Linked DNA regions of Macaca fascicularis. The protein of the gene in region 1 interacts with the protein of each later gene in a pairwise test. Links are inferred from orthologs where the notes say so. Each region holds a gene or a part of one and is shown on either strand. Other genes may lie near its edges.

Region 1 (4,313 bases):
ACTCCCCCCTCTACTGCCCCAGGGCAAGGGAGGAGCGGACTGGTCACAAAAACTACACAGCCATCTGGGCAGGCATCTGGGTAGGCATCTGGGTGTGGAGGGTGCTCTCTGCAGGGACAGAAGCCTGGTGGTTACCTCTCCAGTGTCCAGAGAGCTTGGGGCTGGGAGGACAGATCAGAGTGGAGGAGGTGGTGAGACTGGCCCACCCCTTTAGGATCCTCAGGGTGGGAGCAGGGAGGATCACTGCCTTGTCCATCTGTAGAGGCTACATGGTCGGGGGCTGACCTCAGCCTTCCAACTAAGGCTCAGTCCCCACCCCTGGGCCCTGTAGGGGCTTCTTAGCTCCTCCCCAAATCCTACCTAGAGACTGTTTCTAGGCCGGCTCAGGCACACACAAACGGCTTTTTTTTTTTTTTTTTTTTTTGAGATGGAGATCTCACTCTGTCATCCAGGCTGGAGTGCAATGGTGCCACCAAAGCTCATTGTAGCCTCAAACTCACAGGCTCTCCTTCCTCCTCAGCCTCCTGAGTAGGTGGGACTACATGCGTGCACCACCACACCCAGCTAATTTTTGTATTTTTTGGTAGAGACGGGATCCAGCTAAATTGCACAGGCTGGTCTCAAACTCCTGGCCTCAAGCGCTTCTCCTGCCTTGGCCTCCCAAAGTGCTGGGATGACAAGTGTGAGCCACCGCACCCAGCCAGAGGGCTCCTTCTAAAATGGTTGTCATCTGCTCCCACTCCTGCCCTCCCAGAGGTGCCTAGAAAGTAGAGGAGGAAGGCTCCACTGAGGATGTGCCAGACACTCTCTCTGAGGATCCACCAGAAGCCCCTTCCTCGGGTCTTCCAGAAACGAGACCTTCCCCAGACATCTCTCTGTCCTACTTGCCTCCTGGCTTTCTCTTCCCTTCTGTGGAAGAGATGTGCGGGAACATCCAGGCACATCTCAGACACTTTTGGCCAAGGGATAAGCTAAATGGGTTGACGGTTTAATCTCTAGAGAAGAAGCCCGCAATGTAACACCCACTCTGGGTGCCAGCATCCAGCACTGGTTCAGTGAGGGCTTGTTTCCTGTGCGGCTCTACCAGCTGGGGAAGCGGGAAGGAGAGGTGCAGCCAGGGCTGCCTCTTGCCCCAGCCACAGGCCTCTCATTCTCAAGAGGCAGGAAGTCCATCTGAAGTTCAGCTTTGAACACTGGAGAAGTGAGGCTTGGAACCCTCCCGAGCCACAAAGCCTGACTCTCCTTGCCCCCTTCTCACTTAGAGGCCTTCCCACCCCTGCTCCTCATCCCACTCTTGGGTCTGCTTTCCAGGAAAAAAAAAAATGTTTCTGTTGGATCTGAAAGGCACCCGGGAAAGGAATCCAGGGAGCCCTCAAATTGCTGAGGTGGGCCAGCTCTGGGGCAGAAAATGACCAAGAGAAGGGAAGGAATGTGCCTGGGGGCAGACACTGCGCCCCACTGCCCTCCCTGAGACCTAGGGCTCATAATTTGAGGGAGGGGTCAGAGTGGCTGAGCCAGAGCGGGCGTGCCTCACGGTTTAGGGTTGGGGAGGGGGTTGCCGATGGCCACTCCTTCCCCTGGCTGGGCCGGCCACTGAGGTCAGCAACTCCGCCCTGACTGAACGGGGGAGGCCAGGGTCTCCAGAGAAGGGCCCATGTTCCACCCAAGTGTTCAGGCTCTGCCTGACTCTGTTACTCTAGCTGAGGGAAGAAGAAAGGGGGTGATGGTCACTGCCGGCCCCTTCTCTGATGCCGACCCCTCTCCATGCCCTCTCTGCCTCTGTTTCTCTCTGCCACCCAGATCTCACCGCCCCTCTCCACGGGTCTACCCAGTACACATAATCCCGTCCCGAGCTGGGTTTGGCCTTGGCAGTTCCCTGGAGAAGTGAGGGGTGGGGGTGACGTGAGCTCCTGGGGCCCGGGCCAGGCCTGGCTCCCTCTCTGGAAAAGTCCCACCCCACCCTCCCCTGCGCAGCCCGGCAGGGGCCCATGCCCCCTCCTCTGCAGAAACACACGCACATTTGTGCTTCTCACCCCTTTCCATGTGCCTCATTTGGTGTCGTTCACGGCCCAGGACGGGGAAAGGAGAGGTCAGAGGTTGGTGCCAGAATAGACCCTGGTCTGGACAAATGTGGGCTCCTCCGGACCACACCTCTCCACACTGCCCAGTGAAAACCAAGGAACAGAGACCTGAGCAGGGCTCACCCCTTCACCCCCAGGTCTCCCTGCTGGAGAGTGTGGCTCGACCCTATGTTTCTGGAATAGCCACAGAGAATCCCTGTCCTGAGTCCGAATTCCCTGGCCCTCATGGAGCCCTCCACTCCTGGGTCTGGCAGGCCACCCCAACAGGTGTCTTTCTTTTTTGTCAACCTCTTCTGTCATCGGACTGAACTGGATCAAGGGCACCCACCTGCGTCCCTCGCGGCGACCCTGTCCTCCAACTCCAGGAGTTGCAGTAGGGGGGCGGGAGGCACACCGTCCGAGAGCACCCTCCTAGGGAGAGGGCAGGAGGCGCTGCCCGCGCGGGGAGGTCGTGGGTCTGTTTTCCAACTTCGCTGTGTGACTTAGGAGGAATTTTGGCTCACTCCTCGCCCGGGTGATGGGGCCAGAGTTCCACGGGATCAGACCCCCTCCCCAGGAATTCGACCCCAGGGGCTGGAAGATCGTCCGAGGCCACCGGAGCTGGGGCCGGGGTCGTGGCGGGGGCGCGACCGACCGCACAGCGCAGGGAGAGGGGACGACGCGGGCGCGCGGGGCTGGTGGTCTAACGGGACCCGGGAGAGGGGCGGCCGGGGCCGGGGTCTCGGGGAGGTCTCTACCTGCTCTGCGCGCCCCGGTGGCCCGTTAACCCTTCTGCACCCGGACGCTCTCTACAGGCAGCCTCGCTCCGCGGCGGCCACTGCGGCCCCTGAGCCGCTCTCCGGACACCGCCGCCTCGGCCGCGACTCCGCCCTCGCGCCCGCCCCCGCCCCGCCCGCCACGCGCCCCAGCCCGCGCCCCTTGGCGGTCCCGGGGTGGGGACGGTCGGCCTCGCAGTCCCGCTCGCCAGGACCACCCACCCCGGGCTGCGCGCCGGGCGCCCCCGGTCGGCTGCGTGAGCAGAAGCCCGGGCGGGCCCAGCCGGGGTCGGAGGCTGCGGTCGCTCCCGGGCGCTGTCCTCGTGTCCGGCTGGGATTAGGGACTTAAGCAGCCCGGGCCTCCGAGTGGCTCGGGTGAGCGGTGCGAGAGCGGCGCGGCGCGGGCGGCCTCCAGGGGCGCCTGGAGCTAGGCGGCCTGGGAGAGCCGCTGGTCCGGGAGGGCGGCGCCCTGGACGGAGGTGCCCGCGGCCCCGGATCCGCGTGGGTCCAGGCTCTCTCCTCCACGCAGCCTCACCTGCAAGCTCAGTCACTCCTAGCTCTCCCGTGTTGGGCAGTGAACCCTGTGGTTCTGATTGCTGGGACTTCTATGAGCTTCGGTTTTTCCCTCAGTAAGGTTTTACACTCGGGACTCAGCGGAAGGACAACGTGCTGACTTCTGAGTCAGAGTGACCTGGTTTTGAATCTCAGCTCCAGCACTTGCCGGCTGTGTGGTCTTCCACAAATACTTCCACCTCTGTGTGGTGCAGTTTGCTCATCTGCAAAATGGGACTAATCTAATATATGGGATGGACTTGGATATGTCTCTTTATTTATATATGGAAGAATGCACCCCAAACTCAGTAGTATTGGTGACATCTGGGGAGGGGTTCAGGGTTGGAGGAGAACTGAAAAAGGCTTTTGCTTTTTACTCTGTGTTATGTTTATTATTATTATTCGAGACGGAGTCTCTCTCTTTCGCCCAGGCTGGAGTGCAGTGGCACGATCTTGACTCACTGCAAGCTCCGCCTCCCGGGTTCACGCCATTCTCCTGCCCCAGCCTCCCCCGTAGCCGGGTCTACAGGCGCCCACCACCACGCCCGGCTAATTTTTTGTATTTTTAGTATTTTGTATTTTTGTATTTTTATATTTTTATAAAATATATTTATAGTATATATTTATACTATTTTTTATACAAATATTTTTACAAAAATTTTATACAAATTTTATATACAAAATATATTTATAGTATTTTGTATTTTTAGTAGAGACGTTTCACCGTGTTAGCCAGGATGGTCTCGATCTCCTGACCTCGTGATCCGCCCGTCTCAGCCTCCCAAAGTGTTGGGATTACAGGCGTGAGCCACCGTGCCCGGCCTCTTGTTATTAATATTATTATTATTGAGACGGAGTCTCATTCTTGTCGCCCAGGCTGGAGGGCAATGGCACGATCTCGGCTCACTGCAACCTCCACCTCCCG
Region 2 (4,369 bases), on another chromosome or scaffold:
CCAACTATCTCTTGCATATTGTAGCTAATGGTTCTTGCCTTCCTCCAGACTTGGGAAATAAATGTGAAAATCGTATTTTATGTTTCATAATATTTGCAGTTGCATGGTTGAAGGGAAGAAGGGCACATGTTATTGCCAGTTGGCCTTCCAGGAGATGACATCCATCATCTCCATGTCAACTTGTGGGCTTTACAAATCTCATTTTTAGTATGTGGCTACAGTATACACAAGCACATATGTGCTTTGCCACTTGGCTGTACAAGGCTCACCATTGTACACAAGCAATGAGTTTAGGGGTTCTTCCCTCTTGCTATCACATGTCTTCTCCACAGGGCTGCAAAAGATCTGGGTAGGGTGAGACAGACAGACCAGTGTAGTATTCCCTTGGGTCCCTTGTCTTTGGCTTAGGCTTTTTCATAAGGTATAATAATTTCTTAGAGGTTCTTCCCTCTTGCAGACACATGTCATCTCCACAGGGATTCAAAAGATCTGGATAGGGTGAGACGGACACACCAGTGTACTATTCCCTTGGGGCCCAAGTCTCTGGGTTAGGCTTTTTCATAATTTCTTATGGTAGTAAGTGGAGAATACAGAGGAAATACATATTTCATGTAACATTTCCGTGTATTCCCTCTGCCTCCAACGACATGAGTTAGAAAAACTACCCCTCGATCTAGTATCAGCAAGCTCGACAGTGACCTCAGCAAGGAACAGCCCTAGAGAAAAGGATTCACAAGTAAATGGAACGAGGAAAGATCTGGAGCAACGAAGTGCTGCTGGTCAGCTTTAGCTGAGGAAGCACAATGGGACGTCGGAGGCTAAAGAAACCATGAAACCTGCAGTATTATTAACATAGCACATTCACTTGTCTTCTCTTGCCCCTGCACGCCCAAAGCTCTGTTCGAGGCCACCCTTTCCCCTTTCATAATGACCAATCAGGTTGCCCAGTGCAAAAACACTATTAAATTCTTAGCTATTAAATTGCGTTATTCAGAATAATCCTTTCCACGTTGAGTCTACGTGCCGGACTGGCTGCGAGCAGAAACTACTTCAGGCGCTTTAAATCTCAACACTTGTGGTCGCTGGCAGCAGAGCTCTTAGGCTGTAGCTCAGTCTTGTAATTCTGAGCTACGAGTTTCAGCTACGGTCCCTCGGGCCTATCAAATGGCAACCTTAACACTCTGGAGGCGTGGTTATCGTCTTGGGGCTCTGGGAAGTGCAGTTACATGGGGGACCAGGCCTGATAATACCATAAAAGGCTTGGTTCTCTGAATTCTGAAGCCATGTTCTGTTGACCTTCCTCTAAAAGCGGTACCCGCAATTGTGCGGATTCCGTGGTTCTCTAGTCCCAAGCCGTCTGCTTCCTGGGCCCTTTCGTTGGCTCCGCCCCCGTAAATCTTGCTCGTCCACTCTGGAAGCGCTCTCCTGACTACAGGCCGCGCCCCTCGCATCGGCTCCGCCCACCTGGCGCGCAGCTTGGCCCAGGCGGTAGTTCGCGTTTTGAGCCGATCGTGCCACCATAGCTCCTGCTGCTGCCTCTACCACTGCCGCTACAGCGGCGGAGCTGAAATTGCCGAACGCGATGCCCGAGGGCGCTGTGAGCGGGGTGGCCCTCGCTCGCCGAGGCTGGTGAGGCTGGCCCGAACGGGGGCGCTGACGAGTAGCAGGGGCCTCAGAGGCGGGTGAAAGATAAAGGTCCAAAGCCGCTGTGGAGGGTGGAGAGCGAGCTCTGGAGGATAGGGAGTGGGGGAGGGAGGCTCCCGCGGCAGAACGAGTTGTGGGCTGCGGCGAGCCCCGCCGCGCCGAGTCCCCACCGGCGCTAGCGCAGGTGTCCAGGCCTGCGGAAATCCCTGGTGGTCTCGGCGGCCTCCTCCGTTGGACTCTACAGTTGCCATGGGAGCAGTTGGGCATTAACGGGAACCAGATCGTCCACGAGACCAACTAGGGCCCATCCCATCCATCTCGCCAGTTAAACGCCTCTGGCGGGCGTGGGCCTGGCATTTCTTAGTGGCTTAGGATTTCCCCCCTTTTTCGTGAGCCTTTCCTTCCGACGTTGCAAGAAACTGTGCAGGGCTAGAAGGTGGGGGTGAGGAAAATGGTGAGAGCAATACCCAGAGGTAAAAACTGCAGACTTCGCTAGGCAGAAGGTAAGACACTGTTATACTTGGCTTCTGCCATCTCAGGTCAGTGAGAGGGCATATTGGGAAGCCCTGTGGAGTGGGAAGACAGTGCCGCTGTTGAGACAAGACCCAGGACTGTGCCGGGGACTGTCCCAAGGGGTTTCTCGTCATAATGGCTGTGGAAGGGTCAACCATTACCAGCCGGATCAAGAATCTGTTGAGATCTCCATCCATCAAACTGCGCAGAAATAAGGCAGGAAACCGACGAGAGGACCTCAGCTCCAAGGTGAGTCCTGTTGGGAGCCACCTCTTTCCAAACCCACCCTCTCCTGCTCCATGTTCCTCGTTAACCTTCCTGTTTCTTGGTAAAGATAACTAGAAGCTCTTGTTTACTCTGAAGGATCACATGTGATCTGTGCAGGCAATTTAGGTTGAAGGAAAAAGCAGCAGGGGTGGGCATGCTGAGATTCATCCATGAGAAGAGGTGAATAGTAGGAAGGCCACCTGGGTTCAATTGAGGCCTCACTATACACTAAGCATGTGCTTGGGAAGCCAGTTGATATGCTATGACTCAGTTTCCCTTCTTGGGAAAGGACAGTAGGAACACATACCTTGTGAAGGGCTAAGGTGTGACTAATGTAGCTGCAGGTGTTAATGTAACAGCTGGGGTTATGTAAGACTGTAGTGGCAGAAAGAAATAGCTAAAACACCTAGTCAGAGTTACTGGCTTGGTAATTGCTCTTGCCTAGGGTCAAAACAAATTTTTTTTGGCCCTTCAAGAGGCTAACTGGAGCATCTTGGCTTCTTAGGAATGATAACATGCAAGAAGCCAGATATCTGTCAGCAAAAAGTTCTGGATGGCCCTTGAGCATTGCTTATCTCATTCACTATATGCCAAGGCTGCAGATGATCCTCAGAGGCAAAGTTCCTTTCCATCCCTTCACTTGTCTGGGTTTTGGTCCTTATGCTTTCTTCAACTAAATAAACCCCACAACTTTGGGAACCCAGAAGTAGACTACATTTGTTTAATCACTTGAGACCAGGGCTTTATTCCCACAGGATCAGATCAGATTTTGTGTCTTATTAGTAGCCTGTAAACACAATAGCCTTGTGAGGTACGAGGTTGTTACTGGGAGAGGCATTTGAGACCACAGCATTGTATTGCTTTGCCTGTATCTCTTCAGTGATGAGTAAATCCCATGAGGAATGATTTAGAATGCCACTGTACAACTGGCAGGGTTCTGGGAGGACTTAGTTCAGCCCTGTATTCATTAGCAGAACCTGGAGTAGGTTTGGTAAGAAGGTGAACAACTTTCCTGTATATTTCAGCAGAAGTTGTGTTGAATCACAGTTTGCTACAAGGTTTTGTGATGGGTGGACATTGTGACCCTTCCAAGGTCTCTTATTCATCATTGTTTCTATTCTCCTGAGGCAGGCAAATAAGCCTGAAATGTAGAAATTGTTTTAGATATGACTCTGTTCATTCTTAATACTGCAAGTGCTCTTATTCTTGGCTGGTAACTTGGCAGTGATCAGCACTGTTAGAACAATCTTCTCAAATCTTTGGCCTCTTTTTCTGGCCAGGAATGGTGTATGTAGTAGAAATGTATAATAAGAGTTTAGCCTTCATTGTTAATTCTTACTGTAATTTTGGTCTGGAATCCAGAAAGTATGTTGCCATTCTTTAAGACTTCCAATATCACCCATTATTAATGCATTTAACAAGTGTTTATTGAGTGCCTATTAAGTGTGCAATCAGTTATGGGTAAAACATTACCCTTGCCATCAAAGAGCTTATGGCTAGTCAGACATGTAAACAATTAAAACACAGTGTGGTTAAGTGCTGCTCTAGAAGTATGTGTACGTTGTTAATGGAAGCACAGGGGAGGCAACCTAACTCAGTTTAGAGGAATTAGGAAAGGCTTCACAGGCTGGTCATGGTGGCTCACCCCTGTAATCTCAGCACTTTGGGGGGCCAAGGCGGGTGGATCACTATGTCAGGAGTTCGAGACCAGCATGGTCAAGATGGTGAAACCTGGTCTCTACTAAAAATACAAAAATTAGCCAGGCGTGGTGGTGCACGCCTGTAATCCCAGCTACTTGGGAGGCTGAGGCAGGAGAATTGCTCGAACCCAGGAGGCCGAGGTTGCAGTGAGCTGAGATCCCGCCAGTACACTCTAGCCTGCATAACAGAGCAAAACTCTATCTCAAAAAAAAAAAAAAAGGAAAGGCTTCATAGAGGAAGGGAT
Region 3 (4,251 bases), about 2.4 Mb from region 1:
AGAGGTACATCCTAAAATGTTACAGATAAAATAATATTTGATATAACGTCTGGGAATCTGCTTCAAAATAACTAGTGGGGGAATAGTGGACTGGGGTATAGATGTTATATGTTCATTCAAGATCTGATCATTGTTCAAACTGGGTGGCACGTATATAGATGTCATTATATTGTTTCCCCCTACTTTGACAATGTTTAAAAATTTCCAAAAAGTATGTAAAGAAATCTGAGGTGATTCTAATGTGCAAACAGGATTGAGAACCACTGAGCTAGTCCACTGAAAAAGGCAGGCATTCAAGCAAAGTAGGCCCCCCTACCACTGTTTCTATCAGTTACTTTTATGACAGGATTTTCAGTTTAGAATTTGAAAGCTACAAACTATTAATATGCCTAGCCTTGGAGGAAAGCCCTTCCACTTATGACATGACATTTCTGTAGTAGGAATGAATGCGGCTGACGAGCAGAAAGATTATTTACTCCAAGTTACTCAGCAAAACTACCAAGAAAAGAGGCAAAACAACAATTAGAACTACAGTTTGATGTTTAAGTAAAATGTTGAGGTTAGAAGTAAAGAGGGTAGATTGAGAACTATAAAATATTAGATTTAAATGAGACCTTAGGAATTATCTGAACTAATTTTCAGACAATCTGAAAATTATATGAATAATTTTCTTAATTCACAAATGCCAAGACTGATGTGAGAGATAAGAATAATACAAAATAGGCCCCAGTTCAGACAGAGCAACCTGGCTTTTAATCAGGACACCAATTACTGCAGTCACAGTTCAACAAATACACTGTATTTAAATCCTGAGTCATCAGCGTAGGAAAAGGGTAAAAATATAATGAGGCAGATCATCTTTCGAAAGCTTTGAATACGTAAATTCAGATGGCTTGTAGATAGCCCAAATAAGAATGGAGAATAAACACCAATAAGTGCTCCTTTTAATCACTCTCACTTCTCACTTCTCTGTGATTATGGTTTGTTTTTTTTTTTTTTTTTCTTTTGAGAGTCTCACTCTGTGGCCCAGGCTGGAGTGCAGTGACTGGATCTCCACTCACTGCAGCCACCACCTCCCAGGTTCAAGCGATTCTCCTGCCTCAGCCTCCCGAGTAGCTGGGACTACAGGCATGCACCACCACGCCCAGCTAATTTTTTTGTATTTTTAGTAGAGACGGGGTTTCACCATGTTGGTCAGGCTGGTCTCGAACTCCTGACCTCAAATGATCCAACGGCCTCGGCCTCCCAAAGTGCTGGGATTACAGGCGTGATCCACCGCGCCCGGCTGTGACGATGTTATCAATTGAGATCCAAGGAAATAAATCATGGAATCCAAATTCCACGTGCTACCAATATGACAAATAATACTCTATTCACTCTCTAAAGCCCCAGTTCCCTGGGAAGTGACGAAATGATAGGAAACATCAAACACACCCCAATCTCCTCAAGCCCTCCATTTTTCTATCTCATCCAGTCAGTCTACCTGGAGAAACTACATGTATTTCATGCTGACAGCTCTAAAAGCGATTAGAAACATTAGAATGGTAATCGCTGCTATCAGCTCCATCTGTCCTTTCTTACAGAGTGAAAAAACAAGTTGGCTCTTCCTGAAAGTCCTTGGAATTGAGAGCAAGGTCTTCAAGGCAGCTATGGATTGTCGCTTTTTAGCCACGCAACATTTTGAAGTACTACTGGAGAGTAAACAAGTCGTGGAATCATTGGCTCTTCCACCTGCGGAGCAGCAGCGGGGCGTGAAAGAGGCACAGCCTCAGCCACCACAACTATAAAGTATGGGACAAAAATTAAGCAGTCAACCAAATGATGTCCTTAATTGATCCCCAAGACTAGGGGAAATTATTCAATAAGCAAGTAGTTGCTGCTTACAGCCGTGCCAAAAGGGAAGAAGATCACAAGTGCAGAGCTGCTAGGAGGGCAAAAATGATACTGATACATAGAAATTTTCAGAAAAAGAATTTCATGTAGCCACCTCAGGGCAAAGGTGAGAAACTACCACCTATGGTCAGCAACTCGTGCAACCTACCCTCTGAAGTTGTCCACCAGGGCTAACAAACTACAAATTCAGCAACGCTATAGAGGAGAGCCACTCGTGCATGTTAGGAAGAACCAAGGATCGGGGATGTCTATTGTCCCCATCCTAAAAATGTGGCCAACAGATTAGTCAGAACACCAGGAAAACAAGAACTCCGCCTCTTTATCCTATTTTGAGGCGGCACTGCAAGAGGGATTACCATCCAACACCTCTGTCCCCGAAAAATCCTTTTAATTCAAAAAACCATAGCCCGGTTCCGCGCGGCAGAAAAGAACCAAGAAAGGGAAGAGGAGCCCGGAAATCAACCCGCTGCAGTACTGCCACCAACTGCGGGCGTGGGACGCTTACCTTGGAGTCGGGGAGGCTGAACACGCTGGGGTCGTCCGTACTGCCCACCATGATCTTGTGCTCCTTCCCCGGGGCATGACCGCCTGCGCCCTCGGAGCGTGCAGCCTTGGCACCGTGGCGCTCCCCGGACACCCGGTCGCTGGTGGTGTTTCCCATGGCTGCAGCTCGTCGGGGACCACCTACCGCGGAGAACCACACCGGGCTGGGAACACCTCAGTAGCCGCGTCAGGGGCGCCCCCCGGCCCCGCCCATACGCCTTGGGACAGGGCAAGAGATTTCCCCGCCCCAGGGAAGCCAAGCCCCGGAGCCTTCTCCCTCCTGGCCTGCGGGAATGCCTGCAAATACCCCGGTGCCCTCGCTGCCCCTAGTCAGGAAACCCGCTATCGGGACTCCCCCGCGTCCCCGCGCTCACTGCCAGGGGCGCCCCCACGCCAGTCACCTCGGGCGATGCGCTCCCTCCTCCAGGGACCACTGAAGTGATGACTGTTCTGCAGATCAGGCCACCAATAAAGTTATTGAAATTGAAGCCGCACCCCTCGCTGGCGATCAGCGATTCCTCCTAAAATGGCTACAAGGCCGGCGGCGCGGAGTCGGCCCCGTGCGCGTTCCCTGCGGCCTGCAGCCTCGGCGTCCCGGGCCCGCCGGCCTCTCTAGCCGCCGCCGCCTCGATGGTGGGCAGTCGCACGCAGCCTCCAGCGCCAGGAGGGGGCGCCAGGCAGGGCTTGTGCCGCCTGGGGAGACTGCACCCGGGATCATTGGAGCGCTGGGCCTCTGAGACTACCCGGCGGAAGGGACGTTCCAACAGGACACTCGGAGGCCGCCTCCCTGGGCTCCGGCGCTCGGTGCCGGGAGAAGCGACGCGGCTTTCCACCCCGCCTTAGGTGCGCCAGCACGTTTTCTGGGCAGCATCTGTGTGTTAGGCGACGGGAGAGGGGGGTTCCTTACAGGGAATAAGAAAACCGAAACTGACTTCCAACTGCAGGCAGAAGGAAGCAATGGCCATTGCTGGAGGTTAAAACTGTTCTGGCCGGGCGCGGTGGCTCACGCCTGTAATCCCGACACTTTGGGAGGCCTAGGCGAGCGGATCACGAGATCAGGAGATCAAGACCATCCTGGCCAACAAGTTGAAACCTGGTCTCTACTAAAAATACAAAAATTAGCTGGGCGTGGTGGCGCGCGCCGGAAGTCTCAGCTAGTGGGGAGGATGAGGCAGGAGAATCGCTTGAACCCGGGAGGTGGAGGTTGCAGTGAGCCGAGATCGCGCCACTGCACTCCAGCCTGTCGACCGAGCGACACTCCGTCCCTCCGCCTCCCCGCCCCCCCCCCCCACAAGAAAAACCTGCTCAATAGGGAGCGACAAGGAAGGAGCTGTCAGCCCGACTGGGGTCGCAGGGAAAATTCAAGATGGCGTATTTAGGAGCTAGACCTTGACAAATTAGTAAAATGTTAGTCTTAGGAGAATAACGAAAAGGCTTTCCTAGTCTAAGAAACAGCATACGCAGTGAGAAACCTCAGAAGAAATAAAATTCAAGGAAGATGGCGACAACGAAAACATCAGAAGGAACCCTAAAGGTATAAAAAAGGCAAAGACAGTCGTAGGGTTGGGAGGGATCCAGGTTTTTTATGAAAATTAGTGGAATCCCTAAGGTACTTACCTTTGTATTAGAAGTATTTGCATGTCGCCTTCTCTACTAGAAACGTTTATCTGTGTTACACAGACCAGCAGCGTTGGCATCACCTGGGAGCCTGTTAGAAATGTAGAATCAGGCCCCATCCCCAGGGTTCAGAATCTGCATTTTAACAAGATCACATTAACGTGTGTGAGAAGCAATGCTTTGACAGCTGGCAGAGAG

What was found.
Region 2: the proteins of ADAMTSL4 (region 1) and MAPKBP1 interact in binary tests that used the Homo sapiens proteins (3 or more experiments, as listed by UniProt). The two-hybrid records come from large-scale screens. The link is inferred for Macaca fascicularis from reciprocal best matches to the Homo sapiens genes ADAMTSL4 and MAPKBP1.
Region 3: the proteins of ADAMTSL4 (region 1) and PRKAB2 interact in binary tests that used the Homo sapiens proteins (3 or more experiments, as listed by UniProt). The link is inferred for Macaca fascicularis from reciprocal best matches to the Homo sapiens genes ADAMTSL4 and PRKAB2.

What each region holds. Positions count from the first base shown.
Region 1 is NC_088375.1:110,701,359-110,705,671, forward strand, and holds the start of ADAMTSL4 (ADAMTS-like protein 4), read right to left. Parts: upstream 2,910-4,313; 5' UTR 2,819-2,909; intron 2,563-2,818; exon of another isoform or gene 2,410-2,562; intron 2,161-2,409; exon of another isoform or gene 2,021-2,160; coding exon of another isoform or gene 1,806-2,020; intron 1,805-1,805; coding exon of another isoform or gene 1,695-1,804; intron 1,693-1,694; coding exon of another isoform or gene 1,529-1,692; intron 1,527-1,528; coding exon of another isoform or gene 1,328-1,526; intron 1,326-1,327; coding exon of another isoform or gene 1,255-1,325; exon of another isoform or gene 1,120-1,254; intron 162-1,119; exon of another isoform or gene 109-161; 5' UTR 1-108. UniProt on the Homo sapiens protein: Positive regulation of apoptosis. May facilitate FBN1 microfibril biogenesis.
Region 2 is NC_088381.1:18,364,004-18,368,372, forward strand, and holds the start of MAPKBP1 (mitogen-activated protein kinase-binding protein 1), read left to right. Parts: upstream 1-1,502; 5' UTR 1,503-1,629; intron 1,630-1,943; exon of another isoform or gene 1,944-2,183; 5' UTR 2,184-2,292; coding exon 2,293-2,406; intron 2,407-4,369. UniProt on the Homo sapiens protein: Negative regulator of NOD2 function. It down-regulates NOD2-induced processes such as activation of NF-kappa-B signaling, IL8 secretion and antibacterial response. Involved in JNK signaling pathway.
Region 3 is NC_088375.1:113,062,294-113,066,544, reverse strand, and holds the start of PRKAB2 (5'-AMP-activated protein kinase subunit beta-2), read right to left. Parts: upstream 2,884-4,251; 5' UTR 2,838-2,883; exon of another isoform or gene 2,578-2,837; 5' UTR 2,555-2,577; coding exon 2,399-2,554; intron 1-2,398. UniProt on the Homo sapiens protein: Non-catalytic subunit of AMP-activated protein kinase (AMPK), an energy sensor protein kinase that plays a key role in regulating cellular energy metabolism.